3 linked regions of the Arabidopsis thaliana genome follow. The protein of the gene in region 1 interacts with the protein of each later gene in a biochemical or structural test. Each region holds a gene or a part of one and is shown in the gene's direction. Other genes may lie near its edges.

Region 1 (10,647 bases):
CAGAAGATCTTTGACAACATGCAGAAACCAGCTTTCGTGTTCGATGGAAGAAACATTATGAATCTGCAAAAGCTAAGGGAGATTGGTTTCATTGTTTACTCCATTGGTAAGCCTCTCGACGACTGGCTCAAGGACATGCCTGCCGTTGCCTAATGATGTTCATTGCTGACTCTTTCGTCCTCCATCATTTGTGCTTTTCTTCTTCTTGTGGTTTGTCTTTAAGACTTGTTATATTTCTTACAATATGTTTGTTATGTTCTCTGGTGTGTGTTTTGTTTTTTTTGGTATTACTTTCATATTTTTTTGGTCGAAGAGGACTTGTATTCGACAATGTCGCTTCAATTTTGTTGTTTCCTTAGAAACTAAATAAATATTGGTTTATATTGGAGTAAAATGTGTTTGTACTTTGTAGTTAATCGTTGAAAGTTTTGCCACTTATTGAGCTTTGTCTGCGAGAGTTGACTCGGAAGAATATTTGCACATTGTTCATAGAGAATCACATGATATCTCTTCTCTGGTGGATTAGGAACCAAACGCATCTTGTAAAAGTTTCCAGGTTGGAGATTCTGATTTCTGAGTGACACCTAACGATTCCATATTTAAAGCTTTATGTTTTTGTATGTCTCTCATTGCGATTGGTATTTTTTGTTTAAGTAAATATGCATAAATCCATTCGTAGAGGCATTCCTTACAGTACTAGTGACCACATATTAACCTTTTAGGTACGCACACCGAAGTTGGCTACATAACTTGGGTGAGTATTCCAATCTGTAATGTGAATAGTTTACCATATCACATATAGCTCTGATACCATAAAAAACTATATGTGAATAATATTAAAAATCTTATACACAAAATTTTCTTTTAAATGGTTAGTCTAATTGTAATTTAAAAATATCGAAATAATAAGTTGCAATTTTTTTTTTTTTTTTTTGGGTCTTTGAAAAGAAAATATAATGTCAAATACTTTAATTTTTCCAAGTAAATCGAAACATAAGATTGATATTTTTCTTTTATATAAGAAAATTAAATTAGATTTAATATTATTAAATGAGTGTTTCATATTATATTTTTCAGAAAAAGAGTTTTTATTAATTAACCAAATACCAATAATTTACTTAAAAACTTGTATTGAATCCAAATGTTTCCCAAAAAAAAAATATTTAATTGGGATTGACAAAAATAGCACCAACAAAATTTTTTCTTCCAAAAATAACAACTTTTTGAAAAATTTCACAAGTAGCTTTCAAAATTTTAATTAAATATTAAATATAAATAATTAATTTTATTTAAATAAATAAAAATAAAAATTTTCCGCTAAAAATTTTTCGTCAAATTTTCTGCCAAAACAATTCGGTAATAAATTTTCCCGCAAAAAAAATTTTCCGTCAAATTTTTCTTGTAAAAAAACTTGAGGAAGCTAACTACGACATTCGTGAGGATTTCACGGAATTCAGGAAAGATTTTACAAAAAAAATTTTCGTAAAATTCTTCCTGAATTTCGAAAAAGAAAAATTCGGGAATTCAGGAAAAATTCTACAAAATTCAGGAAGGGTTACAAAAGAAAAAAATTATAAATTTCGTGAAACCTTTCCTGAATTGCTTAAAATCTTTCCTATATTTTGTAAAAAAAATTCTGAATTTTTTTTTGTAGGTAAAATGTGGGCGGCGTAATTATTTTTGGTGGAAAAATTTTGACGGAAATTATTTTGTAGAAAAATATTGTTGAAAATTTTTGGTATGAATTTTTGTATTTTTTTAAATGTTAGTTGTAATAATTAAAAATTAAATAATTATTTGAGTGTTATTTATGTTCACAAAACTTTTGAATGGTATTTTTATCAAAAAAAACTTTAAAATTATGTTAATTATGAAAATTCTCTATTTAATTTTTTTCACCCAAATAAATAAATACATAAAAATGTCCAAATATTTGTGTGTTTCTCTTTTAATTATTGTTTCCCATTTAAAGTAAAAAAATCTGGTAGCAGCGTTACAATTCGCGAGAAAGACAAAACACAAGTTTCTTCTTCTTGGGATTGGCTATTTCCAGAAATCCAAGTCAATAATCAAAGTCCAAACAAAAAAATCCTCTCCCAATCTCCGCTTCACTCTTCTCATGGACGCTCTCATTGCTCAGCTTCAGAGACAATTTCGTGATTACACCATTTCTCTCTACCAACAGGTTTCAATTCCACAATTCTTCAAACCCAATTTCATCTCTTTGCTTAGCTAATTTAGCTCATATACACACTAGATTGACTCCTATATGCATAGATTCATGACAAAAGTGAAGAAAGATTGAATCTTTATGTAGATTTTTACAAGTTATGATTTTTAGGGATTTGAGTTGTGTAAAGGTTGGAACTTTAGATTCATGGGTTTGTGTTTTTTTTATGTGAAGGGGTTTTTGGATGATCAATTTACTGAGTTGAAAAAGCTACAAGATGATGGAAGTCCTGATTTTGTGTCTGAAGTGCTTTCACTTTTCTTTGAAGATTGTGTGAAGCTTATCAGTAACATGGCTAGAGCTTTGTAAGTTTTTGATATTCTCTCAGCTAGATCATCATTGCTTGTGTTGTCTTAAAGTGTGATTGTGGCTACTTCTATTTCAGGGACACGACAGGAACTGTAGATTTTAGTCAGGTAGGTGCTAGTGTGCATCAATTGAAGGGTAGTAGCTCAAGGTATGTATCATGTCTCGCTTTATATAAGTAGCAGAAGTTGTGTGTTGTTGATTGATGAAAAGCTTTGTGTTGTTTCTATGTAGTGTTGGTGCCAAGAGGGTCAAAACTTTGTGTGTTAGCTTCAAGGAATGTTGTGAAGCTAAGAACTACGAAGGGTAAGCGAGTTATGGTTTTCTCTTGGGACTCATTGGTTGAGTAATAATAGTCTCATGTTATGTTACAGGTGTGTGAGATGTTTGCAGCAAGTGGATATTGAGTACAAGGCGTTAAAGACAAAGCTTCAAGATATGTTCAATGTGAGTGTGAATAGAATCCATCTCTGTTTTTGGCTCTGCTTTTAATGAATCATTTTGGTTATGAGTAATGAACAAATCATTGACATTGTTGTTGTTGTTGTTGTTTCAGCTTGAGAAACAGATCATTCAAGCTGGTGGTATAGTTCCTCAAGTGGATATTAACTAAAGAGACTAGTCCATAAGAAGAAAAAAGATGATGACTTTCTTTCTTTAGTTTCTCTTCTAAATTATTTTGGATTTGGTGTTTGCTCAAAAACTCAATAAAATATGTGCAAAAAGAAACAAAAACAAGTGATGGTTGTTTATAAATCAGTAGTATGTATTGTTTGATCTCATCCGAGAAAATTGAAACCATTGGACTAATGAATGTGATGATAATATATATTGGTTTGCTTCTGAAAGGTTTGGTTTGAGTAAGATATAGTGATTACTAAGTAAGTCTTGACTAGTGGGTGCTTCTAAAAATTGTGTGTTTAGATCTTTTAGTTTCCCAAATTTGCCCATAATGTTTTCGTAATTATCTGAATTATTTGTCTCGAAGTTGACCTTTACTCAAATTAGTAAAAGTTTGGTAGTGACTTTCCAAATTTTTACAACCTGTCTCCTTATCAGAATATGAATATCGTAAACCCTAAAACCTAAATCTAAACCATTACCCATTCGATATCCGAAATGGACATTCTAAGAAAATATGGTAATTCTTTCAGGATAAATCACAAACCGCTTTCGACGAGATTACGGAGCATGTAGTTAATAAACGGGGAAAATGTCATTTAAATCATCACTTTACCATTTTCGTTGGTTTAAATCATGAACTTTGGATCTGGTGAATTAAATCTTTAATTTTATGTTGACTTTCAAATTAATCACAAATTCTTGTTGACTAAGCAAATTGAGACACAAATTCTTTTTTTCGATGTCGTCAATCGACCTTAAGACGAAATATTACTTTGAATTCGAAAAAGAAGAGAAATTCCAAAGAAGATGAGAGATTCTGAAGAAAAAGAGAGAAAAAATCAAAAATTTTGATTAGAAAGATTTCTAACGATGTGCCTTAATTGGCTTAGTCAACGAATTCGTGATTATATTGAACGTCAACATAAAATTGAGGATTTAAATCACTAGATCGAGATTTTATGCTTCAAAACCAACGGAAATGGTAAAGTGATGATTTAAATGACATTTATCCCGTTAATAAACCAATGAAACCAATAATTGTGGGTTGATATATCTTGAACTATTAATTTGGAGAGATTTGTATATAGAAATTTTATTTTAGGGAGAAAACTAGGTATAGAACTTTAGTTTTAGAGATATATAAAATTATAGATCGGAGTCATACTTTGAACTCTGGTAATAGTTTGGAAATAGACCCTTTTTTTTCCGAAATGGACATTTAAGAAAATGTGATAATCATTTTGGGATACATCACAAACCGGTTTTAGACCAACGTAGATTACCGATATAAAAGATACCAATAAAAAAATTAGAGATTAGGGAGCACGTAGTTAGTTGTAGACGCGAGTGTAGGAGATAACTATCTCTTTGCAAAATAGCCTTCATAGCTTCCGCAACAAGTAACTTTTTTCATCAGTCTCTACGAGTTAAAAGCTGAGCGAGAGCTAGACTCTCTGCAGATCAAGCTCAGCGATTCAGGCCCTGATACCTAAATTCAAGTTAGTGTTTTGCTCTGGTAAGCTGATCAAAGCTCTCATCTTTCTACATTCTTTTGATTCTTCCCCTATTTTCTCGAAAAAAGCTCACGATTTTTTACAATTTCAGTGTTTTCTTCTCACTCTCCTGTGTTTGATTCTTGTGGGTTTAACGTATTTGATGCTGAAACAGGTTCAATCAGATGAAAGTTTTCATCTTGGTGGCAAAATCCATAACCTTCATGTATGTGGTTACCAGAGGATTGATTCTGGTGTTTACTCGGTTTGCTAAGGATTTGGGGGTCTTTGTTCGGTTTCAGTGTCACTAAAAGAAACTTCTTTTATGACTGAGACTATTGTGGAGCATGAGATGGAAGAAGAAGCTGCAATGAGCTTGGTTTTGTTTTCAGAAAAAGTATGGCTTTGAATTGTCTCCTCATGATGATGATTCCATGGATTTAGATGGTGTTGAGTTGTTACTAGACTTGAGGGAAATGGTTTCTCAATCGGGTTTCGAAAAGTCTACTACTTGCAGTGGTGTTATTGCTCTGAGAAGTAATCTGCAGAGTAAATCAAGTCACAAATGCAAAATATGTGGCAAGAGTTTTGAGTGTTATCAAGCTCTAGGTGGTCACCAAAGAATTCACAGACCGATTAAAGAGAAACTAGTGCGTAAAAGGGAGTATACTAAATTTGATAATTCATTGTTTGAGTCCTTAGATGCTATTTCAAAACCATCAAAATTTGAAGTCTCCCAAGAGGAGAAGATGTTAGATTGTGTTTGAGTCGAAACAAGAGTTCAGTGAAGTATATCCTCGGAAGAGTAAGTTGCAGAAAAGACCTGAGAGTAGTAGCTCCTGCTATGAATGCAAAGTATGTGGCAAGATTTTTGGGTGTTATCGAGGTCTAGGTGGCCACACGAAACTTCACAGATCGACTAAGAGGGAATTAGCGAGTACTCAAGATGAGAATTCACTGTTAGACTCATCAGAAGCTAAGAAGATTGTTTCACAACCATCAAGCTTTAAAGTCTCTCAGGAGGAGAAGTTCTTACATTGTGTGGAGTTAAAACAAGACTTCAGTGAACCGCTTTCTCATTCGGGTGCATTACCATCTACTCTGAGAAGTAAATTGCAGACAAAAACTCAGTGGAAATCAAGCTGTCATTGCAAAATATGTGGCAAGAGTTTTGTGTGTTCTCAAGGTTTAGGTAATCACAAAAGAGTTCACAGAGAGATTAGCGGGAAATTAGCGTGTAAAAGGAAGTACACTGAAGACTATAATCCATTCTCTGACTCATTAAAAGCTAAGAAGATTGTTAAAAAACCATCAAGCTTTGAAGTCTCTCAGGAGGAGAAGATCTTACATTGTGTTGAGTTAAAACAAGACTTCGGTGAACTGCTTGCTCACTCGGGTTTCGACAAGTCTATTAGTTGCAGCAAATCGATCAAAGTGAAAAAAGTAGCGCGTAAAAATGAGAAAACTGAAGATAGTACTTCACTGTTTGGCGTGATTGACTCAGAAGCTAGCAAGTTTGCTTCACTACCATCAAGCATTGAAATCTATCATGAGAAGACCTTCCATTGTGTTGAGTCAAAACAAGACTTCAGTGAACTGTTTTCTCGCTAGTCTACTAGTTGAATCTTTTTCTCTTCTAAGTACAGAAGTTGCAGATGTATACTTAACATTTTCCTCTTGCTTGGTTCAAATACAGTTTCTTTGGTTAACTCATGTTTTCAGATACAGAACCAATCCAAAGTTCAAAATTGATTACTTAAACCAATTAATTGGTTTAGCGATTAGGGAGCACCAAGTTTATGATACGCGTGAGTGTAGGATATAACTATCCTCTGTCTTCTTTCTTTTGCATAATAGACTCATTAGCTTCCACAACAAGTAAATTTCTCCATTGTTGTCTGTCAATAGCTTAGATCGAAAGCGATACTACAAACTCTGCGATAAGTAAAAAAAAAGTGTTCTTTAAGGTCTTCAGCTCTTCGGATTAGGTCAAAACGTGTTCTTTCTCTTCCTGAGTCATAAAATCAAGTGAAGATTTTGTTCTGGTAAGCTAATCAAGCTCTCTGCTTTGCGATTATTCTTTCGTTTTCTTCCACATTTTCCCGAGAAAATAAACTGGAAAAAGCTTTAGACTTTTTCAAGTTTCTAGCGAAACATGATCACTCTCTTCTTAGAAATGTCTGATTTTGTGTGTTTCTTCGCGATCTTTGTCTTCTTCTCTGTTTTCTCGAGAAAATCAAACGGAAAAGCTATGAGCTTTGTTTCAATTTTCAGGTTTTTGTCGGCGAAATGTCTCAGAGACTTCATGGTTGCAAAACATGCGGGAGAAAGTTTGGAACTTTAAAAGGTGTGTATGGTCACCAGAGGATGCATTCTGGTAATCACAATAGAATCGAAGATGAGAATGGTTTGGAAAGGATTTGGGGTCTTAAGAAGAAGTCTAGGGTTTGCTCTGTTTCAGCTTTTGATCGATTCAAAGGATCTTCTTTTATGGCTGAGATTGAGAAACATGAGGTGATTGAAGCTGCATTGAACTTGGTTATGTTGTGTCAAGGAGTTTATGACTTTGCTTCTATCAGTAATTTGCCTCTAGGTGATGGTTTCATGGATTTAGAGCTTAAACCTTGTCCTTTGAGAAGGAAACTACAGAAAAAATCTCGCTCCAGTTATAAATGCAGTATATGTGAGAAGAGTTTTGTGTGTTCTCAAGCTCTTGGTAGTCACCAGAGACTTCACAGATGGAAACTAGTGCCTAAACCTGAGTACATTGAAGATGATAGTTCACTGTTAGACTCATCAGAAGCTAAGAAGATTGTTTCAAAACCATCAAGCTTTGAACATGCTCAGGAGGAGAAGATCTTACAATGTGTTGAGCCGAAACTAGAGTTCCACGAACAGCTTGCTCACTCGGGTTTCGACAAGTTTGATACTTGCAGTAAAATCAGGTTCAGTGCATTACCTTCTCCTCCAGAAGCTAAGAAGATTGTTTCACAACCACCAAGCTTTGAAGTCTCTGTGGATGAAAAGATCTTATATCGTGCTGAGCCAAAACTAAACTTCAGCGAACCGCTTGCTCACTCGTGTTTCGACAATTCTAGTAGCTATAGAAGCATAATATGTGGCAAGAGTTTTGTGTGTTCACAAGCATTAGGTGGTCACCAAACACTTCACAGATCGATTAAAGGCCAATTAGCGGGTACTGAAGATGGTAATTCACTCTCTGTGACTGACTCAGAAGCTAGCAAGATTGTTGCACAACCATCAAGCTACAAGTCTCAGGGGATATAAAAATGTCAGTGCTTTGATGTTTCCAAGTCTAACCAAAGGTTTTGAGGTTTCACATTATACCAAATATACTACAGAGAAAGGATAGATATGTGTTCATCTATATAGAATCTTCAGATTAGTTGAATAATAAGGAATGTGTATAGTTGTGACATTTTCCTCTCTATTGTTTCTACTTTATTGCTAGTGTTACAGACATGAAACAGAAGGAAAAAAACCAGGTTTTGTTATTAGTCTGAAACTATCATTGAGCTCAGTCTCAATTCCACCTTCATGTCTGAGATACAGAACCAATCCAAAGTGAAATTGATTATTTATTGGTCCACTTAATCCAAAAGGACAATTTTTTCGATTAAACCGGTCCGACCGGTCTGGTATTTTGTCCAATCCAAAGTGAAATTGATTATTTATTGGTCCACTTAATCCAAAAGGACAGATTTTTTCGATCAAACCGGTCCGACCGGTCTGGTCTTTTGTCCGGTTTTCAATAGAACTGCAAGAACTAAGAAAAGATCAAAACTTTGATTTTGTTTTCCATGGATTACAACAGTCAGTGGCAACAACCGCCGGCACCGGCGATACAGCCACCGGAAATGAATCAGTCGACGGCGGTTGATGCGTATTACGCTTCCTATTATGGTTACTACGCAAATCCAAACCCTAGTTCCATCTCCGATCTCCAAACTTATGAATCCTCAGCTATTGCAATTCCACCACCGCCTGGAGTTGTTGATTCTACGGCGGCTGTGATTGCGACGACATCATATGTGACTGTGGATACGACGCCGTATTATACTTTAGATATGAATGCTCAGCAGAACTCGGCTTGGCCTGTAAGTTGTTTCAGAAATATGAATGCTTTGATGAGGAAGCTATGAATTTTTCTCCGTTAAGTTGTGGGAATGTGGTCAAGATGATGTCTTTTATAGATTTCTCAGTGATTCGTTAGGATCTGTGTGTAAAGTCAGGTCCTTTGCAACAAGTTCTTGATGCATTAGTGAATTTCAGTTGCTTTGTGAGATTGCTCTGTTTTGCTTAGTCATCAAGTTTTAGTCTCTAGTAATTTTTGTTTGCACAAATCTCAATGTTTAGATCCTTCGATCTGTGAAATCAATGATTATTTTATGTATATCTTACCAATTCATTATGATCTGTGTATAAAGTCTAAGAGTCTGTCTTTTATGTATGTCATACAATGTTTGCTTTGTGATTGCTCTGTTTTGCTCTCTTGAGATTGATCTGTTTGCTTCTCTCGGTGTGCAAAGGATCAGTTTATACTTCAAATTTGTTCTAGAAAGGCATCATGTAGACTAGGTTACAAAACTACATAAGATCTGAAGAAATATTTTCGAAATTTTGTTTTCTTATGCAATATTTACTACCTTCCTGGTGTGCTCAATTTGATATTTTCTTGAACTTTTGTAATTGAGGATGAATCAGGATCTTATAGAGCAGTCTCATAGCATATACCCGCCTGATTTCTCTTGGACCGGCCACATAGTTCAAGCTCAACTTCCTGGAACGAAGAAGGGAAAGGTTGTTCGCTCTGCTCACTGTGAAGTTTGTAAGGTTGACTGTAATGGTCTGTTTACTGTCGTCTAACAAGGGTTCCTCTTTGTCTGGACCAACCGTTACAGCCCCTTTAATAGGACCACAAGAAAATCCGTGTACAAGCAAGGCTAGGAAGAGAGGTGCGGATTCAACAACAGAAGATCTAGAATCAAAGAGACGGAGAGTCGTGGAATGCGGGGTGTCAAATGAGTCAATTAGATTGTGTAGAATATGCAACGTAGTTTGTAATAGCGACATTGTTTACAACGATCATTTAGCCGGTCAGAAGCACGCCGCTAAGGCAGCGAAGGCCCTTGTAAATTACATTGACTCGTGAATCTTATTTCTTACGTTCATTGTATTGCATCATTACATGATTTCCTTATTACCTTGATTACATTAGAAACATGGGACGTACAAAAGAGTTCTTAAGGTAGACTTGTCTCAAGGCTCATGGAAGTTCCACTTGCTTAATATTCCATATGTCTTTGGCGTATTCGTGGATCGTCCGGTCACTGCTAAACTTGAATGAACCTGCTGTGTTCATTATTGACATTCTCGTCCATCTCTGTAATCATTTAACAGCAATTTCAAGGTTTGATATTTGAGTAAGTTTCATATTTTAGTCAACATTATTAGCTTGATGTTCAAAGAAAATGCATTAGTACTTACTTTCTGGTCTCGGTATGCCTCGTCGACTTTTTCTTGGCATTCGATGTAACTAGGAAAGTCTTTGCCAACTAGGAAGTAATCCGCTCGTCCAAAGCCTTCGTTTCCTTCCAAAGAGCCGATTAGTTCATCATAGCTATTTGAGCCAAAGACGCCGCTTCCAACGAACTTCTTGACTTCTTCAAAAGTAGGATCGGGAACAAACTGGAATGCCAAGAGCCAGGTCAAAAATCAAATTCTTGTTGATGCTAAAACAGAAGCATGGTAAGGTTAACTCTTCAAATAGTATATACCTTTCCCTCTGCTCTCTCCTTCCTGAGGTTCACAATCTGATCAGCTTTGGCACCAAAGAGGAAGAAATTTTCTTCTCCAACTTCTTCTCTAATCTCGACATTCGCCCCATCCAAGGTTCCAATCAAAACGCAACCGTTCATCGAAAATTTCATGTTGCTTGTCCCACTAGCTTCCATCCCAGCAGTACTGCAGAGA
Region 2 (10,647 bases), on another chromosome or scaffold:
AAATAACTAGTAATATCTTTGGTATTTTGGTCATCGTATCTTGAGATTGTAAGCAAACTTTGTAAACAAATCAGTACGTGACTATATGATGAAGCATTATTTATTACGAAACCAACAAACGGAGAACACTTTTATATATATTTTAGCGTTGTTATGACTATAGTGTTTTTTCTCCTCTTGTAGCTATCGTGACTATATCATCAATAGTCCGTTTCTATTATTCAGGAACTGTTCGTTTATGTTTAAAATCAAATTATTGACTTCTAAAAAATAACTGAATACATGAAAGACTTTGGTGGTTGTGGTTCGTTTTTTTAAATTGGATTTAGGATTTTCTTTTCATAAATCTTAGGTACGGAGCAAATGGATGACTGTCTCTTGATTTGTTTATTTTATTATTCAAAATGTATGCAAAGATCTTGATAACTTGAAACATAAGACATTAAAATCTAGGTGGAAAAAAACATTTGAAAGCAAGTTTGTTCCATATATAAATTGCAATGAAAATAAGAAAATGTGAAACATATTGATGGTTTTTTCCTTTTCCTTTCAGTAATGTTCTTATCACCAATGTTTTGTTTGGCACGATCATCAAATGTTTAGACATGTGGATCAACATTGTAATAATTTTCTCTTCAAATGACTGACTCTTTTTTTTTTTTTCAAAATAATGTTTTTCGTAAGTGTTAGGTGTGAAGACCATCATGTTTTTGCTAGATTCTTGTAGATCTCAACATTGATATTTGTAGATATCTATCAAATCGTTACAAAAAGTTTGCTAGATTCTAAATTAATGCTAAGAAACCAGTTTTCTTTACAAAATGTTTTTGTCAATGTCCTCTCACAATCGGCTAAAAGATGTTACAAACTATAAAGGATCCTCCTCCACAACTTTTGAAGATTTTACTCTCTCCAGATTTTGTCCAAAAAGGACTCACAAAATCACACAATGATGGTCAACTAAAAAAAATCACTAAACAACTTAAATGAAATGATGACAAAACTATTCCCTTTTGTTGCAAAATAAAAAAAAAAACCTTTTAAATCTGCAAAGAGATCCTTATATGATATGGCTGTTGTCCTGGTATTATTTCTCCAATTTAATTTAGGAATTTCATGTTTGACACTTATTTAGGGATCGTATAATATACGTTTTTTAATTGATTTGAAACCAAATAACATGTACTATTGCCTTAGTCCTCTTGCAATTCGTTTAGAAGATGTTATGATTGAGACAAAAGGATCCACCCGCAATACTTTGTCCATATTTTTCTCTCAAGATTTTGTCCAAAAGCAAAAGAGACTCACAAATCACACACAATGGTCCACTAAACAGAGTGCCTTTATTGCATACAAAATTCAATCAATTTAATAAAGGAAACTCAACTGAAAACGATGACAATAAAAAATAAAAAATGTCCCTTTTGTCTTTAAATAAAATAATAACCCTTACTGACGTAAAGAAAATTAAATTAAGATAACCTTGTAAAATACTTCTTACCCAAATTAAAAAAGAAAAAAAAAAAGACAACAAGAGGATTAAATTGTATTAGTATCACCATCATACCATTACACATAAATAAAATTTAGTAGAGTATAAACGAATCACGTGTATAGGAAAATACAAAATACAATGTTGAAGTTAAAATGAATATAGAAGTAGATTAATTGAGCAATAACCACCGGTTTTAGATCATTGATTGATATGTAAGTAAAATGCAAAGTAGTAGCCGACTTGGCAAAGAAAAAGAAAAAAGAAGAGAGAGAGAGGTAAAACTAAAATAAAATTACTAAAAGCAGAAGGAAAGTTCCAGGTCACGAGGGAGTAGTCGCTGTCGGATTGAAAGAAACAGACCAAACAAAGATCTTTGAAATCTTAAAAAAGATTCGGTGCCCAAAGATTTTGACCTTTGAAGACACATTTGATTATTTGTGTTTTCTGACACTTCCCAAACACATAACATCAACACTTGACCCATTTTTAAGATTTTGTTTCCTCTTCAAAGATCTTACCCCGCAAGATCCGATCTTCCAAATCTCTCTCTATCTACTATACTAGTACTTATTAAACCCCACCACCTCTCCCTTCTTATTTATGTCACCTAACCTAACTTCTTCTTCTTTCATTTTATCACATTCATTTCCTTTGTCTTCAATCCAAAGCTTTCCTCTTCTTGGAACCAATCTGCTCTCTTTTTTATTCTGAGTTTGACAATGGCGGTTGGTGAGGTCATGAGGATGGAGATTCCCGCCGGTGGAGATTTGACTGTTACTACTCCGGAGTTGCATGTTCTTGCCGTCGATGATAGTATTGTGGATCGTAAAGTCATCGAGAGGTTGCTTAGAATCTCTTCTTGTAAAGGTAAAAACTCAAAACCAATCTTTTTCTGCTCTGTTTTTGTTGGTTTTAACTCTCCTCTGTTTTTCTTCTTCATTAACAAACTCTCCTCTGTTTTTTAGTTACAAGTGTCTTTTTTTTTTTGTTATTTCAGTGACGACTGTAGAGAGTGGAACTAGGGCTTTGCAGTATCTTGGCTTAGATGGAGGCAAAGGGGCTTCTAATCTTAAGGTAATTAAGAATAAATCTTCCCTCTTTTGCTATCTACTGAGAAGAACTCTTGTATATTTAGGAAAGACCGAAGGAGTGAAACCTTTGCAACTTTGGCTTTGGCTATTGCTTCTTCTTGTCTTTATGATCAAATGAGATTTAGAAATGAACTAGTCTAGTTAGTGATTTATGTGTTTTGGTATTAAGATTTGATTTTGTTTGTGATTTTCATCATAACAGGATTTGAAGGTGAATTTGATAGTGACGGATTACTCAATGCCAGGACTTTCAGGATATGATCTCCTTAAAAAGATTAAGGTAATAACAATAATAATGGATTTACCAATCTGAGAAAGACTTAAACAAAGCTTTTTTAATGCTGCTTATACAAAACTCCATTGATATGTGCAGGAATCTTCAGCATTCAGAGAAGTACCAGTAGTGATTATGTCATCTGAGAACATCTTACCTCGTATACAAGAGTAAGTACTGATTGTGTAATGTGTAGTGATACAGATGGGATCATATTTGTGTCTACACTGTGATCTAAACTTATCGACTTCTTCTTCTTGTTTTTAGATGTCTCAAAGAAGGAGCAGAGGAATTCTTGTTGAAACCGGTGAAGCTAGCAGATGTAAAGCGAATCAAACAACTTATAATGAGGAATGAAGCTGAGGAATGCAAAATCTTAAGCCATTCTAACAAGAGAAAGCTTCAAGAAGACAGTGATACATCATCATCAAGTCATGATGATACTTCTATCAAGGACTCTTCATGTTCAAAACGAATGAAATCAGAATCTGAAAACCTTTTTTCTCTACTTTGAATTATATGTATAGAGGCCAAGACCTTAGCAAAACCATTCTGTTAATATTCCTCAAGAAAGACAATGTTTGAGAGAGTCATCACACTACTCATGATGTTGCTTAAACAAAACAAAACAAAAAAGAGAAAAGAATCAAATGTTAGGTTCACACTGACTTACACCTCATGTAAATTCTTCAATGCTTGCAACTCAAGCTTAGGATGCTCTTCTCCCGGAAGTATTGGTCTATCATCAATCACGCAGGAATCGTTTTTCAGGTAAGTGAGTCTGCAAACCGCCCAAACAGGATCCGAAGACAATTGGAATTCTTCTACTTTCCACCCGGTCATTGAGTGGACACGCCCCACATCGAGATTGAAAGAATATCTTGTTTTAGTTCCCAGAACATTTTTCTCTATGTCATTATCTATGATTTGTGTAACAACACCATTGACCCTCCATGTTTTCTTCTTGCCCCTGAGGTAGAACATCAAATTCAGCTTTTCACGACGAGACGAACACTTTCTCACAAAGTAGTACCATTCACTGTCCTTGTAAAAAGGAGATCTAACATGTTCAAGAAGCCATGGCTCCATGGCATATAGCTCTCTCTCTCTCTTATGAAGCAGCTGAAGTCTGGTGAATGGGCCTTTGGAGTGAGGTACAAAGAGAGTAGCTCTTGATCAGTCGGATGAAATCGGAATCCGTAAGTAAAGACACTTGGTGGGACGTTCTGACCAGAACTCAGAGCATCATGTATCTGCTTCAACACATCCCATTTCAAGCGTGGATGTTCAAACCCGTTCAATCTAGGCTTATCTAAGTACTCATTCCCGAGGGGGTTTTTCTTAACAAAGTAATACCATTCATAGTGATTGTAACACGGATCTCTCACATGCCCAAGTACCCACGGATCCTTGTCGTACAAGTCTATGGTTTTGATAAAGCAGCTGAACTCCGGCGATTGTGTCTTCCGCATAAGGTAGTCTGTCACTTCTTCATCAGCTGGGCGAAATCGAAACCCGCGTGTTAACACCTCTGACATTTTTGCTTCTGATCCAAGAAACGAGAAACCAAATTCATCAAACTCGATCTCTAAAAACAAACAGTGATCTATTATTCTAAAAGAAAACCCAGTAAAAGAATTGGAATCATGGTAATGAATATGATTTCTTCTAGCAGTAGAAACGGTGTGAAAGTGTAACAGAGACGAATATATGCTGAAGAAGAAGAAACTTGATTATGAGAGAACGAGAACTTACATGAATCAATGATCGAAGATTTCTTCTAGCAGATTAACAGAGAGACCCAACGACGTGAAAACTTAACAGATATGAATGTTCGAAGAAGTTTCTGCAAGAACCCCAATAACGAATTGGAATCTTGGTGATGAATGCTTGAAGCAGAAACTTGGATAACAAAGAACGAGAACTTACCTGAATCAATGATCGACGATTTCTTCTAGTAGAGAACAGAGACCCAACAGATATAGAAATTCTGAAAGAAACGCGACAAAGAGTTGGATAACAGAGAGATCGACAATTTCTTCCACGAGAGAACAGACTTCAAACAAACCGTGATAATCTAACAGAGATGAACGCTCGAAGATGATAAGAAAATTGCAATCTTGGTGACGAATTTTGAATGCAGGAAGAAGAAACTCGAATATTTGATAATTAATATCAATGTTCAGTGGTTTCTTCAAGCGTTCCTCTAAAGCGATCTTGGACTCACTCTGTGTTTCTGTTTCTTGCTGCCAACGGATACGCAACAATAACAATTACAATGTGTTTAAAGATAAATCCCCCTTCGCCGACTTCACTAATACTATCATTTGTATTTTATTCAAAATTATAATTTTTTAAACATCTTCACAATTGTTAAATTAAAAGGACTGTATATCATATTTAAGACTTTTATTTCCGAAATTATATATATTTCTAGGATATGTATTTTCTCATCATCGGACTCCTAGGTATTTCAAAGACTATGTAATACATATTTGGATTTATTTTGAAAACACACATTGAAGGAAGACTTTTTAAAAAAAAAATGCATCTTTTTAATACTATTTTTCAAAAATGTCTCCTCCATAGAAACCTTTTATTGTTTTTTTACTGAAGATGATTTTTTAATAAAAATATATAATTTAAAAGATTTTCCTTTTCCCCGATTAGCTTCGCCGGAATGTCTCCGCGTTCCGGCAAATTTTGTAATCCCAGCTATCGAAGTGGCTATTCCTTTATTGGGCTGTAATTCACTAAAAAAAAAAATCAATAAAAACAAAAGAGCACCACTGTTTTTTGGTAAGAAATCTATTAGTATTTTTTCACATTTTACATTTTAAAATATTTAGTAGCATGTTCTATTACTGATTATTTTTCCTAGGACCTTTAACTCAAAGCCTCTTTTTGGGAAATCCCACAAAGATGGGCAAGTTCATAAATTCTCCTGAAAATCAAATTAAGAAAATGTTATGACATGTTTTCTGGTTTAATCATTTATAGATAAAAATAAGAGAATATGCACAAAATAACTATGAATTGTAAAAAAATTAACAAAGTAGCTATGGTATCAGAGGACACTCTCTTTCATCACTTGTAATTATTTTTATACCCATTATCGAATTTTATATGTATTACACGCTATTTTACAAAATCACACAAAACACTTAGATGATTCCATGGCGAAAAACTTTTGATGAATCCGAACAAACCACCACTCATCTCTCTTTCTTCCACCACCACAACCACCACATCTTCCACCATCACAACCATCAGTCTCTTTTTCGATAAATCTAGGCTGCTAAACGTTATTTATATTGACGGATCATCTCTCCTTCAATTTGCAGAAGATTTCTCATTTTATTTTGTTCGATTTTGATTCTTTCTTGGAATCTCCGTCGTTATGTTTTCTTTTTACATTGTATGTTATTTTCTTTTTTACCATGCTACTTTCTCGAATTACACGTTATAATTGAAAATCTCTCTCAAATAACATGCTATTTTTTCATATAACAAATTATTTATTCTCATAGCACATTATAAAATGTCACTTTTTTGATAAATATCGTGCTATTTATTTTGTTCGATTTTGATTTTTTCTTGGAATCTTCATCGTTATGTTTTCTTTTTAAATTGTATATTATTTTCTTTTGTATCATGTTACTTTTTCGAATTACACGTGATAACTGGAAATCTTTCTCTGTCAACATGCTAGTTTTTCATATAACACATTATTTATTCTCATAACATATTATAAAATGTCACCTTTTTTATAAATATCATGTTATTCTCATACTCTTGCTTTTGGTTCAACTTGCAAGGATATTTTTGTATTTTCTTATGCCGTCATAAGGTTATTTACTCACATACAAATTAACAATGGTTAGTTACTACATTCTTTTCAATTCTACTTTCTAATATTACCCTAAAAATAATTAGATTTTTTCTCTCCTTTTTCTGTCATTTATAACATCATATCTAGATATATCTCGTCTAATAATATTTTGATGATAACCTGCAATATAGATTATGACGAACAACTTTTATAGATAACGATTCTACCATTCAGCTCTTCTCGCAACACTCGGATACACGACAAACGATTATGCATATATGATATATGATGGACATACTCTTTCTGCTTCATTTGAGACCACAACGGTGACCTAATTATAGTACTCGATATAGATTACGATAAGTTATGCATCAATAATCTGCAAAATCGAACCTGAGACTTGGTGTAAAATTTTTTTTTGACAAAAGATTAATTTTTATATCATTTTTGACTTTTGACAAAAAGCTGATTAAAGCAGTCTCCAAATAATAAATACAACATTACAATTTGCTTCTAGGCATTCAAGGATAAGTTACGAGGTGAAATACCAATTCTGAGCCTGCAAAACTCAGAAATTTGCGTGGTTGTCACATGACCGAATAACCGGAATTCTCATCGTAGTTGCCACGAGCATATCTATTTGAAGCTGTCCTCAAAACCTCGTGATAAAAGTCTATAGCTTCTCCGAGAATTAACGCAAAAATACTTAAGCAATCATGAACTTTTTCACTAATTCAATGAGATAGCGATGCCACTTAGACCTATTTGCTGCCATAAATTCAACACTCTATTAACCTTATCAATGCACCCATATTCTCGCATACATAAAAAGAACCGACACCAACAACACCAAAAACAACAAAAATCTACCTAAAAGCAACCAAAAACGAGGCGAAGGGACGAAGAAAAATGGTCACGGGAAAACCATAACCATGGCTGAGGAAGCTGCCACCCTCTACAGCCCACCAATGGAGGAGAGATGTTGACCACCAATAACAAACCACAACACTTCTAACCGCAAAGAACAAACCAGAGAGCCAAAAAGATCTCGTGATTTGCCTCCACAAGAGAAGCTCGCCGGAATCCAACCACACTATCACCGGAGCGAGAGAAAACTAAGGTGGAGAGACCCGATAAATAGTGGTAACGTAATATTTATACATCAACAAAGAATACTAAATCAACTAGATATAGTATCATAATTGGTAAACTACTTGCTTTATTGATCGAATAGTAGTAGTACCGTATTAACCCGGTGCAAATTATATAACAAAAGTATATAGCCAATGAAATCTCACATAATATTCCAATTAGTAATATTGTAGAACTGCAAAATAGTAAGAAAAATAAAATAATAAGTGAGTAAAGGGAGTTACAAAATATTAGTTTTTTTTTTTTGAATTTAATATTAAATTATATTAAAAAAAAAAAAATTGTTCTACAACTTATACATACTTGTTTTAAAAGACATCATTCAAAACAAAAACAAAAAAATCTTCTCTCCTTGTCTTGATTCAAACCAATCTTGCAAACCTCCTGCAAGTTTCATATCTCCGCTACTCCGAATTGTGCTCAAACGATTCCGAATGATTTTATCGATCACTCTTATCAGTCTCTCGCATGGGGATGGTTCTTCATTGTGTCGTCGGTTGTTCCGTTCTCTTCAAAGAGAGTGGATTGCATTTTGAAATATGTACCCTACAATGAAACACTTCGTCTTGCTTAGCCTATTGTCATGTATCAGTTTGAGAGTTTCCGTCCAGTTTGCGGTGAAGCTAGCGTGGAGGATTCCCTTTGCGAGCTTCGTCCAGACCTGAAATGAGTAAGGGCACATAAAGAACAAATGATCCCATGTCTCCAAAGTGTGTTGACAGAGAATGCAGTTTGGAGTTACTTGCGGGTTCCACTTAATCAGCTTGTCACCCGTAGCTACTCTATTTTTTTGAACGAGCCATGTGATGAGTGAGTACTTCGGAGTCGAGTGCTTGAACCAGATTCCGTTGTAGTTCTCCATCAATAGCTTTGCGGTGCGAATCTGCAGCCACGTCTCTTTGGTGTGAAACTCTTTTCGATAGTGGTCATGCTTTCCATTCCATAATGCTACATCGGTCTCATTCGATCTTATGAGCTTCTGTTTTACTATTTCGTTTTCGACTTGATTCAAAATAGCTACCCGATATTTTCTTCTTCTTGCCCCTGCCATTACCTCACCCACAGTAGCAGTCATCGGGCTACCCAAATCAATGCACCCTCTTGCACCCAATCTGTCATAAAGACAACCCATCTCACTCCATCTGTCAAACCCAAAAGAAGAAGCTTCGCCGTTTCTAACTTCCACTCGATAGAAACTCTTTGCTGTGTCTCTGTATTTCAAAATTTTTTTCCATATCCAAGAACCACAAGTTGTATTCTCTTTCACTAACCAAAAGGAGCCTCTTCGAATAAGATATTTCTTAACCAATTCCACCCAAAGCGACCGCCTAGCTGAGAGAATGCGCCAAATCAACTTCAAAACACAGACTTTATTTGCTTCTGCAATCGAGCGTAATCCCAAACCCCCTTCTTGTTTTGGAGAACATACTTCAGACCATGCAACTTTCACCTTCCGAGAGTTTAAAGCTGAACCTGACCATAAAAAAGCAGAACACGAATATTTGTCTTACGAGTTAGAATTCATGGTTGACAAAATCCGCTGAATAATGAAGCAAATATTTATATGAAATCGAGTCAAGTAGGAAGAATTATTGATTTGGCAAAAAATCTAAGAGAGCAAAACTTTAGACAAATTCTGTGTCAACAAACTTAAGAATTTACTTGTAACAAAAAAAAAGAAAAAACGTTTAGAGTTTAGAAAACTTAGCACCTAATCCTCGATCCCATCATCGATCTTCACGTGGGGAACTCGAAGCGACACAATGGACAAAAGTGACTGGTCGCAAACCAGTCTACAATACACTTATCGTCAAACTCATGTCCACATGGTAAAGTCACAATTCTTGCTCCTTCTTTAAACTCTTCCAAACAAATTATGCACTTATCACCAACTATAGAGCTAGTCTTGTAGTATATATTTTTGGTCAGCGACCTGACAGCGAGCTCGCTTGCGGGTCTAAAGGGTATACAATAATAGGGTATATAAATATTGGTGTCGTCATCCTCTACAATCTCATCAAAGGAAATACCATCACGAAAAGTCAAATTCAGAAACAGAGCATATTCTGGGCTATAATCACGTGAGGAAGTCACTTCAATGATACCTTTGCGGGCAATTTCGGTCAACATAAACAAATCGGGTTCGAGAGGGAAACCTTCTTTCATCAAAAGATCATTAATGTCTTCTCTACTACTAAATCCTTCATCTTCCATGACGTAATCCGCGAGCCACGTAATCGGGAATGTTCGTACAGGTTCATCCATCGTGACCATGGTTACACATGCGTTGATTGTGCCAGCTTCTGAGACTTCAGGATTACGGTCGATTTCATGGCGAAAATATATCCGACCTCTCATAACGAATAATTTAGGGTTCTTAGCAAAAACAAAAAAAAAAGGTAGGGTTCTTTATTTTATGCTGCGGCAGTGTTATTGGAAGAATCAACGTGGTATTTATAGAGGTGCAAGATTTTATCAACCTTTTATCAAAAACTGAAATAGATTTTATCAACAATTTCTTTTATTCAAAAAAATGTATCAATTTCTGTGTATAAAAAACATTACAAACTGTATTCTCTCCACTGTATAAAAATTTATAAGGGATTGAGACTGTAATGATGTGATCAGGCTAAGATGTCAACCGCAAGCTAGAAACTCAAGTGATTCCGAGAGCGTTTCCTAGCGTTCATAAGCTCCATCAATGATGGTAGCGGCCGAGGCACAGGTGCGTTCATTGATCTGTATAGCTTTCTCAAATCCCCACTAAGATCCTTGCAAGTCTCCTTTGAGGTAGAAGTAGAAA
Region 3 (10,647 bases), on another chromosome or scaffold:
CCGGAAACTGTTGGGACTTAGACCCATCTGCTATACCAGAAGAGTTGCTTCACAATGGAGCAGGAACTGATTGATTATCATTCACTGTCGCTGCAAGAGACAAGAGTAAGAGCTTTATATTACCAATGTAACGGTTGTTGACTCAGTGTAGAAACCCAACTCTATATTGAAGATTATTATGTCAGGAACTATATACACAGGCAAGCCTCTGTTCGTTCATTGGAGCTGTTGTATTAGCAATGTTGAAGAATCAAACATAGTCTGACTTGTTGCTGTTTGTTATTACGATTCTCTATTTCCTTCTTTCTATATTAACCTTTAGTATAAAATGTAGCCAATGTCATTCTGCTTTTTACTTGTCACTTTTGCTTCAGAAAAGTTTGGATGATGCTACATTTTGAGTTCCTTTGGTTTCATCAGTTGGATTGCAAAGATATTTGTTTCAGATGAAGCAGAAACTTTTGTGTGACAACTAATATAGTTTCTTGGTTATGTTAACCCGGTAGGAGATTAAGACAAAGAAAGGTGAGCTCTTGTGTTTAAGGTATTTAAAATCTTATTAAATAAAACATGATTTCAATGTTAGTAACTGGCATTATCGTAATATCTATTGATTAGGTTTTGATAAATAAAAAATTATATCGTTTTTCTGAAAATAAAAATAAAAATATACAAATTAAAAGAAAATTATATAACAACCAGAGTTAATTTTTAATTAATTTGTGGTTGTAAAAAAGGGTTATGTACACAAAAAACTCTCAAACTCATCCATTTTTGCAACTATACCCTTCATTTTGCAAAATAATCATATCAAATCCAAAATAATACGCAGTATAATTCTTTTTAGATATTGTCAAATTTTAAAATTTTGATAAATAATATATCAAATTGAAGCCCTCGAAATGAGGAGTTCACCTATAACTTCAGAATTTTCAAAAACAAATGTATGTGATCATGAGGAGATCATCTATAATGTTGACAATATATGTAAAGTTGCAAAAATGGTCTATATTGCCTATTATTTTGCATTTCATAGGATTATTTTGCATTTTCTAGACGTGGAAGATAAAGTTGCAAAAATGGACGGCTTTAAGAGTTTTTTTGCACAAGGCCCTCACAAAAATATATACAATAAATTACGATCCTAAAACTAAAAAATAATATATATATTTTTTAAAAATGTAAATAAAAGTAATATAGTAAATTACTAATTGTAAAACAAAAAAGAATTATTAAAATAACTAAAAAGCTTGTTACATATATTTGGGCTTCTTTAATCAATTAGTAATATGTGAGATCAATAGATTTTTTTTTCTTTGTTTTTGTAATGTTTTTAACTTAATTTAATTTTCTTTGTAAATTATAATTGTAGTATTCTTAGACAGTTTATTATAATTTCCTTTTCATCTTTGAATTAAGAAAAATTATTATATTATGATCTTTATAATTTTCTATTTTATTTTAAATATAATATTTGTAATTTTATATTGTTGATATATGCAAAATTTTAATTATCTTGAATTTTTAATAAATCCTCCAAAACTTGAAGAAATTGAAGAAAATAAGAGAGGCACCAGTCTTCACTAATGAATATACATCATTACTCACCATTTTCTTTAGATTGGTTCTCAAATTAGGGGATGGTTCTGGAAAAAAAGAGTAAAAAAATATTATAGATAACTTCGAAAACAAGACGTGTATCTTACGTACCAAGAATTTTGGATATCGTCGTCTTTGAAATAAAATCCGTAAATCCCAGACCAAAGAATATTCTATATCTTCATATTGTAAAATATTGGTGAGATAAAAATGATAAACATTATTAATTATCAATTCAGATCTCTTAGGTGGAAATGGAATGAATACATATTTAACAACTAAATAATATATAAGAATTAATGAAAAGAATAATGAAACTTGATATGTAAATACGAATGTTGTCCAAAAATACAAAAACGATTAAATGAAAAATAAAGAGCTATAGAGGGTAAAAAGGAAGAACATAACTTGAGATATTGGAGTCAAACCAGAATTTTTCAAACCAAATATTCCAACTAACTCTAACTAAATAGGCATGCCTCATCCAAACACAATAAAAAAAAAGTTATAAGGTCATCTGCATATATACTGACCATTTTCTATAGGTTGATTCTCAATTAGGGGCCTAGAAAAAGAGATTAAAAATATTATAGATATTTAGAAAACAAAACATATAACTGTATCTTGCGTGTCAAGTATTGATATTCTTGTGTCAGTTATTTTAAAATGATTATCCAAATGTTGTTTCATGTGTTAGTTTATATGCCCTATAGCATTTACCAGTATGTCATTGTATTTTTAATCAATATATCGGTTATTGTACATAATTGTACGGAACCGCATTTAAATTTATTGATTTTGTTAAAATACACAAACTCTATAATGACAACAACGTTTAGTTTTATAAAAAGTAAGGGAAGTTTGATATGACAAACCAATTAGCAATCCTTCATTGTTGAAGGTGAGATATCGCAGCTGCCTAATGATATAGAGCTGCAGGACTTCTTGCGCTAAAACTGTTTCTGCTAATGTGGGGTGGTGGGTGGCGATAGTGATCGAATGAACTAGTTATCTTCCAATAATCTCGATCGTGAAAATTTTAATCTTTTTTGTTTCAGCACAAGACTTTTATTACGTGAAACATTACTTTCATACTTTGTTGGCAATTGTGAGTCTTCGGGTGTATAACATATCTTTAATAAAACTGTTTTCATGGCTTTATCGTAGCAACTTGACGTCCTAAGAGGGTCATTAAAAGCCGTCTATGAAGTAAAGCCGTAAATCCCAAACCGAATAATATTCTACATGTTTATATTGCTTATTGTTTTTTAATAAAAATAATTGTCTCATGCTATTATTTGTCATTTTCTATTTTGTTCTAAAGTCTAAAATATTGGTGAGATAAAAATAATAGATAATATTTTTTTTAGACTAACTAATTATCAATTGAGATCTCTTAGGTGGAATACATATTAAACAACTAAATAATATATAGGAATGAAAGAATAATGAGGTTTGATATGTACATACGACAGTAGTTCAAAAATACCAAAAAAGATCGATTAAATGAAAATAAATTGTTATTTAGGCAGAGCCGTACTTCATGTAGGAAAAAGACATTTGTCTTAGGTCATACAAAAATAAACAAATAAAATGCCACATTTATTTCTGAATTACTCAGTATTTATTTTTATTTAGCGTTTTAAGACTTTTGTTTTGGAAAGAAAACTCATCAATAACATTTATGGAAAATTTTGTTTGTTTTTCCTTTACATTAACTACTAAATCTTGTTTGTACTGAAATTGTTTCTTAAATGAGCAATATATATATATATATATATATATATATATATATATATATATATATTATTTTTCTTAACATTCAAAAAAAATCTCAAAAATAGAATGTGTGAGACTACAATTTTAGAATATGTCTTAAGCCTCTATTGACTTTGGCACGATACTGTATAAGGGTTTAGATATTGGAGTCAAACAAAAAAAAATCAAATCAAATATTTCATCCAACTCTAACTAAATAGGCATGACTAATGCAAACACAATTTAATAAAAGTTATAGGGTCATCTTTGTCTTTGCTTCGTTGGTCATCTTGAGAACACGGTAAGATCACCTCAAAATATACAATTTTGGTCAATTTCATGTATTATGTCTGGTTTCAATTTGGGTGTAGACACAATACTACAATAGCGATTCCATTACAAACACTTTAACGAAAAAATCAACTTTATTTTCTTCAATTTATTTAATTTAAGCACATATATATATATATATATATATATAAATCCTGGTTTTCTATCCTACTATATTATTTGGGAAGTACATTTTAAATATAACCTTATTTTTTGTAAGTAATTACATATGTATGCCATTAGAAATAAAATTTTAAAGAGTAAATTAATTCATTTCTTTAAAAATTAAAAAGTCAATTTAATTAATTAAATTTAACTCAAAAACGAAATACATTATTAATTTCCAAAAAAGTAACCAATTAAAATCAACAAATTAGATTTGATATCTAAATTATCATATTAATTTTTTATTAATTATTATAGTTCACCTCTCATCTTTATATGATTTTATTTTTGCAAAAAAATAATATCATCGTTATAAAAAAATAATTAGAGTTTTTTTCGCATATGCCACAATTTAAATTTAAAAAAAACAAATATAAACTGTTCAATACATGAAAAAATACTATAACGGGTCAAAAGTAGATTTAAAAAAAAATTTTACTGAGTACTGTGTTATAATTTGAATATTTATATTCAATTTCATACATATTATTTTAAAATTTATAATTTTATATACTAAAATAATTAATAACATATTAGATTTTTTAATGTGTATGATGTGATTCAATTTTTAATACAAGTTGGAAAATCCTAGAATTGACGGGTTTAAATCAATATTAATACAAGATGGTATAGTACAGGTGAAACTCTAAAATTAACAATCAAAATACAAGTATATAATTTTAAACATTAAACAATATAAATAATATCAACAAAACATATACAACTAGCAGTTTACTATACATTTAAAATCAAATAAAATAATATCATATATTTGTAATCAACTTTACAATAAAAGTTTTTAGTTTAACTAAAATATAAGCCTACCTGCTGTATAATGCAAGTTAAAATTATAAATAAGCAGATTACCATCACGATGGATGTACCTTCTCACATACACACCTATCAAAAACTTAAAACCTTTCAAAACCTCTTGGTATATTCAAATTAGGATTCTTCATTCATAGAATCATTATTCCAAGGGTTTTGGGATGTCTTATGAAATGATTTTGGCAGAAGAGGATGTAAATTTTTTTGAATAAAAGGTATTCAACAAAACATATGTTTTATTGGGATTTTTTAGATAATTAAATCAGAGAATAGGGCTGGGCATATGAGTAACCCATTCGAGTTCGGGTAGAACCCGTTCGGGTTTGGGATTAATGGGTATATGATTTACTACCTAATAGAATAATTCTAAATATTCGGTTCGGGTCGGGTCCAGTTGGGTTTGGGTCAGTTTGGATAAAAAGTTTCAGGCCCTAAAAATACTCAAAAAAATAGAAACGAGTATTTTGTATGTAGATAGTGCGTCTCTAAACAAAAAAAACTTTTAAATTTATTAAGTTTTAATAAATTTAATTATATTTGAATATATTTTACTAAATTTTGACAAATATAACAAATAATTTTGATAAACATAACAAACATAACAAAGTATACAATGTAATTTATACAAAATATTAATGCCCGTGCTATACAGCACGGGTTATGATCTAGTCCTAATATATTTTCAAAGTCAAATACAATTTTAAACAGAACTTCTTACATAAAAATAATCAGAATCATAAATGTAACTGGGAGACAAAGATACATAAACTGATAAAAAGAAATAAGATGTACATATAGAATCAAATCAATACCCACTTCTCGTAAAACCCACTCATCGTTATATTTTATACAAGATAAGATAAGACTTAAGAGTAGATGTTAAACTATGCTAATGAAGCAATTTAAAAACACCAAAAAGACCAAACAAAAAACAAATAACAATGAGTAGGTTTTAGGAGAAGCATGTATTGATTCTTGGTATAGTTGAGTTTATTTATATTTTCATTAGCCAATCACTTTTTCTAATTTAACTAAAAATGTTATAATACCTTCCCCACCTAGATGATGAGATAATCATGGACCCAAAAACCTCAGTTTTTAAAAATGTTTATTCACCAAAAGACAAAAACAATAATAATAATCAAAAGTAGAGTAAAAGAAGAGAGAAGTGACATTCTTTTTCTTTAGCTCATAATTTCTCTAACAAATGCTTCTTTTATCCAAACTCTGATCATTGAGTCCAGTTGGGTAATGAGAGACACCAGCTGGGTTTCTTTTGTTTAAGCTCACAAACATCTAAAACAGAGAAAGCTTTGTCATTTTTCTTTACCCTGAAACCATGAAAGAAGATAAAGCTTTGTCCTTTTTCTCTTTTCCGTTTCTTTACTCTCAACAATGTCTTCTTTCTCCCATTGCAACAACCACTGGGTTTGGTTCATCTTGTCCTCTTGCGTCTTAAGTAAGAAAAAAGAAAAAAGCTTTGCGTTTGGGACTATGTCACAGCTTCTTGTTCTTCTTGTGGATGGTTTCAAGAACTCAACTATGAGATTGTTGTTGATAGAGTTTTAGTTTTGGGTTTGAAGAGATCTGAATTTCTTCAGCTGAATCTGAGATTAGGAGTCGAAATGTCTATAACTTGTGAGCTCTTGAATCTTACTTCAAAGAAAGCTAAGAAGTCGTCGAGCAGTGACAAGAAATGGCTAAAGAAGCCTCTCTTCTTCCTGATTTTGTGTGGCTCTTTGGTAATTGTTTTGGTTATGTTCTTACGGTTAGGTAGAAGTCAGAAGGAGGAGACAGATTCTTGTAATGGAGAAGAGAAAGTGTTGTATAGACATCAAAATGTCACAAGAAGTGAGATTCATGATTTGGTCTCTTTGTTCTCTGATTCAGATCAGGTAATTGCATGAATTGACTTGTATTTGTTGAAATTGAGCTTTTGAATACGCACCAGATTTGCCTTAAAGTGTAACAGTTTCTCTGTATTTGTTGTAGGTAACATCCTTTGAATGTCATAAGGAATCAAGCCCTGGAATGTGGACAAACTATGGTATTACATGTTCCCTGAGTGTGCGTTCTGATAAACAAGAGACTAGAGGGCTTCCCTGGAATCTTGGCTTAGGACATTCTATCTCATCAACATCTTGTATGTGTGGTAATCTTGAACCGGTAAGATAATATTCGATTCGACAACATGTGAAGGAAATGCTTTAAGATTTGGTGTTTAGCTAGTTCTCACAAAAGTTTATTGTGAATGTGTTTGGTTATGAGTAGATTTTACAGCAACCTGAAAACCTTGAGGAAGAAAACCATGAAGAAGGGCTGGAGCAGGGTTTGTCATCGTATTTAAGAAATGCATGGTGGTGTCTAATCCTTGGTGTGTTAGTGTGCCATAAGATTTATGTATCTCATTCTAAAGCACGAGGTGAGAGGAAAGAGAAAGTACATCTGCAAGAGGCTTTAGCTCCAAAGAAGCAGCAACAACGTGCTCAGACTTCTTCTAGAGGGGCTGGAAGATGGAGGAAGAATATCCTTCTCCTTGGTATTTTAGGAGGAGTTTCCTTCTCTGTTTGGTGGTTTTGGGACACTAATGAGGAGATCATAATGAAAAGGAGGGAGACTTTGGCAAACATGTGTGACGAACGAGCACGTGTTTTACAAGATCAGTTCAATGTTAGCTTGAACCATGTTCATGCCTTGTCTATTCTTGTATCTACATTTCATCATGGTAAAATCCCATCTGCCATTGATCAGGTGATGTTTTTTTCTTACTGCTAAATACATTTTGTGTCTCAAGTTTATGTTTAAATCATCAACTTCTGTTACATTTACAGAGAACATTTGAAGAATATACTGAGAGAACAAACTTTGAGAGGCCACTTACTAGTGGTGTAGCGTATGCTTTGAAAGTCCCACACTCAGAAAGAGAGAAATTTGAAAAGGAGCATGGATGGGCAATAAAGAAAATGGAAACTGAGGACCAGACAGTTGTACAAGATTGTGTTCCTGAAAACTTTGATCCCGCACCGATTCAAGACGAATACGCGCCAGTTATATTTGCTCAAGAAACTGTTTCCCATATTGTATCGGTCGACATGATGTCTGGAGAAGTCAGTAACGTCTAAAAGTTTCTTGAACTATTTTGCCAAACCAATGTCCTTAAAAGAGAATTCAAAAGTCTAACTATTTTGCAGGAAGACCGTGAAAACATCTTACGGGCAAGGGCATCAGGAAAAGGAGTGTTAACATCTCCATTTAAGCTTCTTAAGTCAAATCATCTTGGTGTTGTGTTGACCTTTGCTGTCTATGACACGAGCCTACCGCCTGATGCTACAGAAGAACAGCGTGTTGAAGCAACTATTGGGTACTACTTCTACTTAAAATGATTCTAGGACTGAAGAAATTGAACCTATGTAACAAAGAATGATCTCTGGACCAGAAAATATTAATAAGATACACTTAAAAACAGGTACCTTGGTGCATCATATGATATGCCATCGCTGGTGGAGAAACTTCTTCACCAACTTGCCAGCAAACAGACAATTGCTGTGGATGTTTACGACACAACTAACACTTCAGGTCTAATAAAAATGTATGGCTCAGAAATTGGGGATATAAGTGAGCAGCATATAAGTAGCCTTGATTTTGGTGATCCATCAAGGAACCATGAGATGCATTGCAGGTTAGTTAGCTCTAACTGTTATGGTACATTTTTATAAGATATGTTTCACTTCTCTGTTTTCTGAAGTATGAAAGTGGCATTTTTCATTTACAGGTTTAAGCATAAACTTCCCATTCCCTGGACAGCGATAACACCGTCGATCTTAGTTCTGGTTATTACTTTTCTTGTTGGTTATATTTTATATGAAGCCATCAACCGAATTGCGACAGTTGAAGAGGATTGTCAGAAGATGAGGGAACTCAAAGCTCGTGCTGAGGCCGCTGACATTGCAAAGTCACAGGTGATCTTTGTGAATCATATAGTCTCAAAAGCTTTACTTGTTTTTTCACTGAAATGCTTCTTATTTTGCAGTTCCTAGCAACTGTTTCTCATGAGATACGGACTCCGATGAATGGAGTTTTAGGTACTTTTTCTACTTATCCTTGGTCAATATTGCATGTTCTCTTAAAATCAGCTGAAACGTTTAAGCATTTTGTTACAGGAATGCTGAAAATGCTGATGGACACCGATCTTGATGCGAAGCAGATGGACTATGCGCAAACTGCTCATGGCAGTGGGAAGGATCTTACATCACTAATAAATGAGGTTCTTGATCAGGCAAAGATTGAATCCGGAAGGCTCGAGCTTGAAAATGTGCCTTTTGATATGCGTTTTATTCTTGATAATGTTTCATCTCTCCTCTCTGGCAAGGCAAATGAAAAAGGAATTGAGGTATAATTATAAACTGCATGACCTTCTACTTTCTTAATGTTTTCATATGGCAAACAAATTCCATATGTAATGAAATGTTGACTTCTTGTTACAGTTGGCCGTTTATGTTTCTAGTCAAGTTCCTGATGTTGTAGTCGGTGATCCGAGTCGGTTCCGGCAGATCATTACAAACCTGGTTGGAAACTCAATCAAAGTAATTTACTCCTTACTTCTTACAGAACAACAGGCTTCACGAATCTCTACTATTACAGTACTCATTTGTTATTTACTTAATAACAGTTCACACAGGAAAGGGGACACATATTTATCTCAGTGCACCTTGCAGATGAGGTAAAGGAGCCTCTTACTATTGAAGACGCAGTGCTAAAACAGCGACTAGCTTTAGGATGCAGCGAGTCCGGTGAGACAGTTAGCGGGTTTCCTGCGGTAAATGCATGGGGAAGCTGGAAGAATTTCAAGACATGTTACAGTACTGAGAGTCAGAATTCTGATCAAATCAAATTGCTAGTTACAGTGGAGGACACTGGAGTTGGCATACCTGTGGATGCACAAGGCCGAATCTTCACACCTTTTATGCAAGCCGACAGTTCCACATCGCGGACTTATGGTGGAACTGGCATAGGTTTGAGTATAAGCAAACGTTTGGTTGAACTCATGCAAGGAGAGATGGGGTTTGTGAGTGAGCCCGGGATAGGCAGTACTTTTTCATTTACTGGAGTTTTCGGGAAAGCAGAAACAAATACGTCGATTACTAAGCTGGAACGATTCGATCTAGCTATTCAGGAGTTTACAGGATTGAGAGCATTAGTTATTGATAACAGAAACATTAGAGCAGAGGTCACCAGGTACGAACTTCGGAGACTGGGAATATCTGCAGACATTGTTTCAAGTCTGAGAATGGCATGCACTTGTTGTATCAGGTACTTTACGTACATTAGTGTCTGTCTGTCTTTAGAGATTATAGTGAGTTCACTAAAAGCGTTTTATTGTTCTGGAATCTTTGCAGCAAATTAGAAAATTTGGCTATGATTCTAATAGACAAAGACGCCTGGAACAAGGAAGAATTTTCAGTACTTGACGAGTTGTTTACCCGAAGCAAAGTAACCTTTACAAGAGTCCCAAAGATTTTTCTTTTGGCAACTTCTGCAACTCTTACTGAGCGCAGTGAGATGAAGTCTACTGGTCTCATCGATGAGGTGGTGATAAAGCCTCTTCGGATGAGTGTCTTAATATGTTGCTTGCAAGAAACCCTTGTCAATGGCAAGAAGAGGCAACCGAACAGACAGCGAAGAAATCTTGGACACTTGCTAAGAGAAAAACAGATTCTGGTTGTGGATGATAATCTTGTGAACAGACGAGTTGCAGAAGGTGCACTTAAGAAATATGGAGCTATTGTTACATGCGTTGAGAGTGGCAAAGCTGCATTGGCAATGCTTAAGCCGCCTCATAACTTCGATGCTTGCTTCATGGATCTCCAGATGCCTGAAATGGATGGGTAGATAACTATTTTTCAATCTTATCTCTTCAGCTTGTTCATTTCTTGGATGTCGTCCTTGGTAACTTTATAATTTTTTGCG

What was found.
Region 2: the proteins of AHP2 (region 1) and ARR7 form a complex in vitro, tested with the Arabidopsis thaliana proteins (one study listed by BioGRID).
Region 3: the proteins of AHP2 (region 1) and HK2 form a complex in vitro, tested with the Arabidopsis thaliana proteins (one study listed by BioGRID).

What each region holds. Positions count from the first base shown.
Region 1 is NC_003074.8:11,256,881-11,267,527, reverse strand, and holds AHP2 (histidine-containing phosphotransmitter 2), read left to right. Parts: upstream 1-1,965; 5' UTR 1,966-2,119; coding exon 2,120-2,185; intron 2,186-2,404; coding exon 2,405-2,535; intron 2,536-2,615; coding exon 2,616-2,687; intron 2,688-2,770; coding exon 2,771-2,842; coding exon of another isoform or gene 2,843-2,846; exon of another isoform or gene 2,847-2,897; intron 2,898-2,910; coding exon 2,911-2,983; intron 2,984-3,092; coding exon 3,093-3,149; 3' UTR 3,150-3,402; downstream 3,403-10,647. Other genes in the region: UGD2 (UDP-glucose 6-dehydrogenase family protein), read left to right, coding at 1-153; AT3G29340 (zinc finger (C2H2 type) family protein), read left to right, coding at 5,088-5,303, 5,422-6,144, 6,928-7,941; AT3G29330 (zinc finger RNA-binding-like protein), read left to right, coding at 8,475-8,771, 9,379-9,540; PHS1 (Glycosyl transferase, family 35), read right to left, coding at 9,941-10,057, 10,162-10,362, 10,452-10,638. UniProt on the Arabidopsis thaliana protein: Functions as a two-component phosphorelay mediators between cytokinin sensor histidine kinases and response regulator (B-type ARRs). Plays an important role in propagating cytokinin signal transduction through the multistep His-to-Asp phosphorelay.
Region 2 is NC_003070.9:6,570,646-6,581,292, reverse strand, and holds ARR7 (response regulator 7), read left to right. Parts: upstream 1-1,978; 5' UTR 1,979-2,214; coding exon 2,215-2,362; intron 2,363-2,492; coding exon 2,493-2,569; intron 2,570-2,788; coding exon 2,789-2,866; intron 2,867-2,959; coding exon 2,960-3,030; intron 3,031-3,127; coding exon 3,128-3,374; 3' UTR 3,375-3,460; downstream 3,461-10,647. Other genes in the region: AT1G19040 (NAC (No Apical Meristem) domain transcriptional regulator superfamily protein), read right to left, coding at 3,880-4,398; AT1G19025 (DNA repair metallo-beta-lactamase family protein), read right to left, coding at 10,493-10,647. UniProt on the Arabidopsis thaliana protein: Functions as a response regulator involved in His-to-Asp phosphorelay signal transduction system. Phosphorylation of the Asp residue in the receiver domain activates the ability of the protein to promote the transcription of target genes.
Region 3 is NC_003076.8:13,911,996-13,922,642, reverse strand, and holds the start of HK2 (histidine kinase 2), read left to right. Parts: upstream 1-5,837; 5' UTR 5,838-6,305; coding exon 6,306-6,575; intron 6,576-6,672; coding exon 6,673-6,846; intron 6,847-6,951; coding exon 6,952-7,431; intron 7,432-7,511; coding exon 7,512-7,787; intron 7,788-7,871; coding exon 7,872-8,041; intron 8,042-8,146; coding exon 8,147-8,359; intron 8,360-8,452; coding exon 8,453-8,639; intron 8,640-8,710; coding exon 8,711-8,762; intron 8,763-8,840; coding exon 8,841-9,070; intron 9,071-9,164; coding exon 9,165-9,263; intron 9,264-9,349; coding exon 9,350-9,990; intron 9,991-10,076; coding exon 10,077-10,565; intron 10,566-10,647. Other genes in the region: AT5G35753 (DnaJ heat shock amino-terminal domain protein (DUF3444)), read left to right, coding at 1-74. UniProt on the Arabidopsis thaliana protein: Cytokinins (CK) receptor related to bacterial two-component regulators. Functions as a histidine kinase and transmits the stress signal to a downstream MAPK cascade.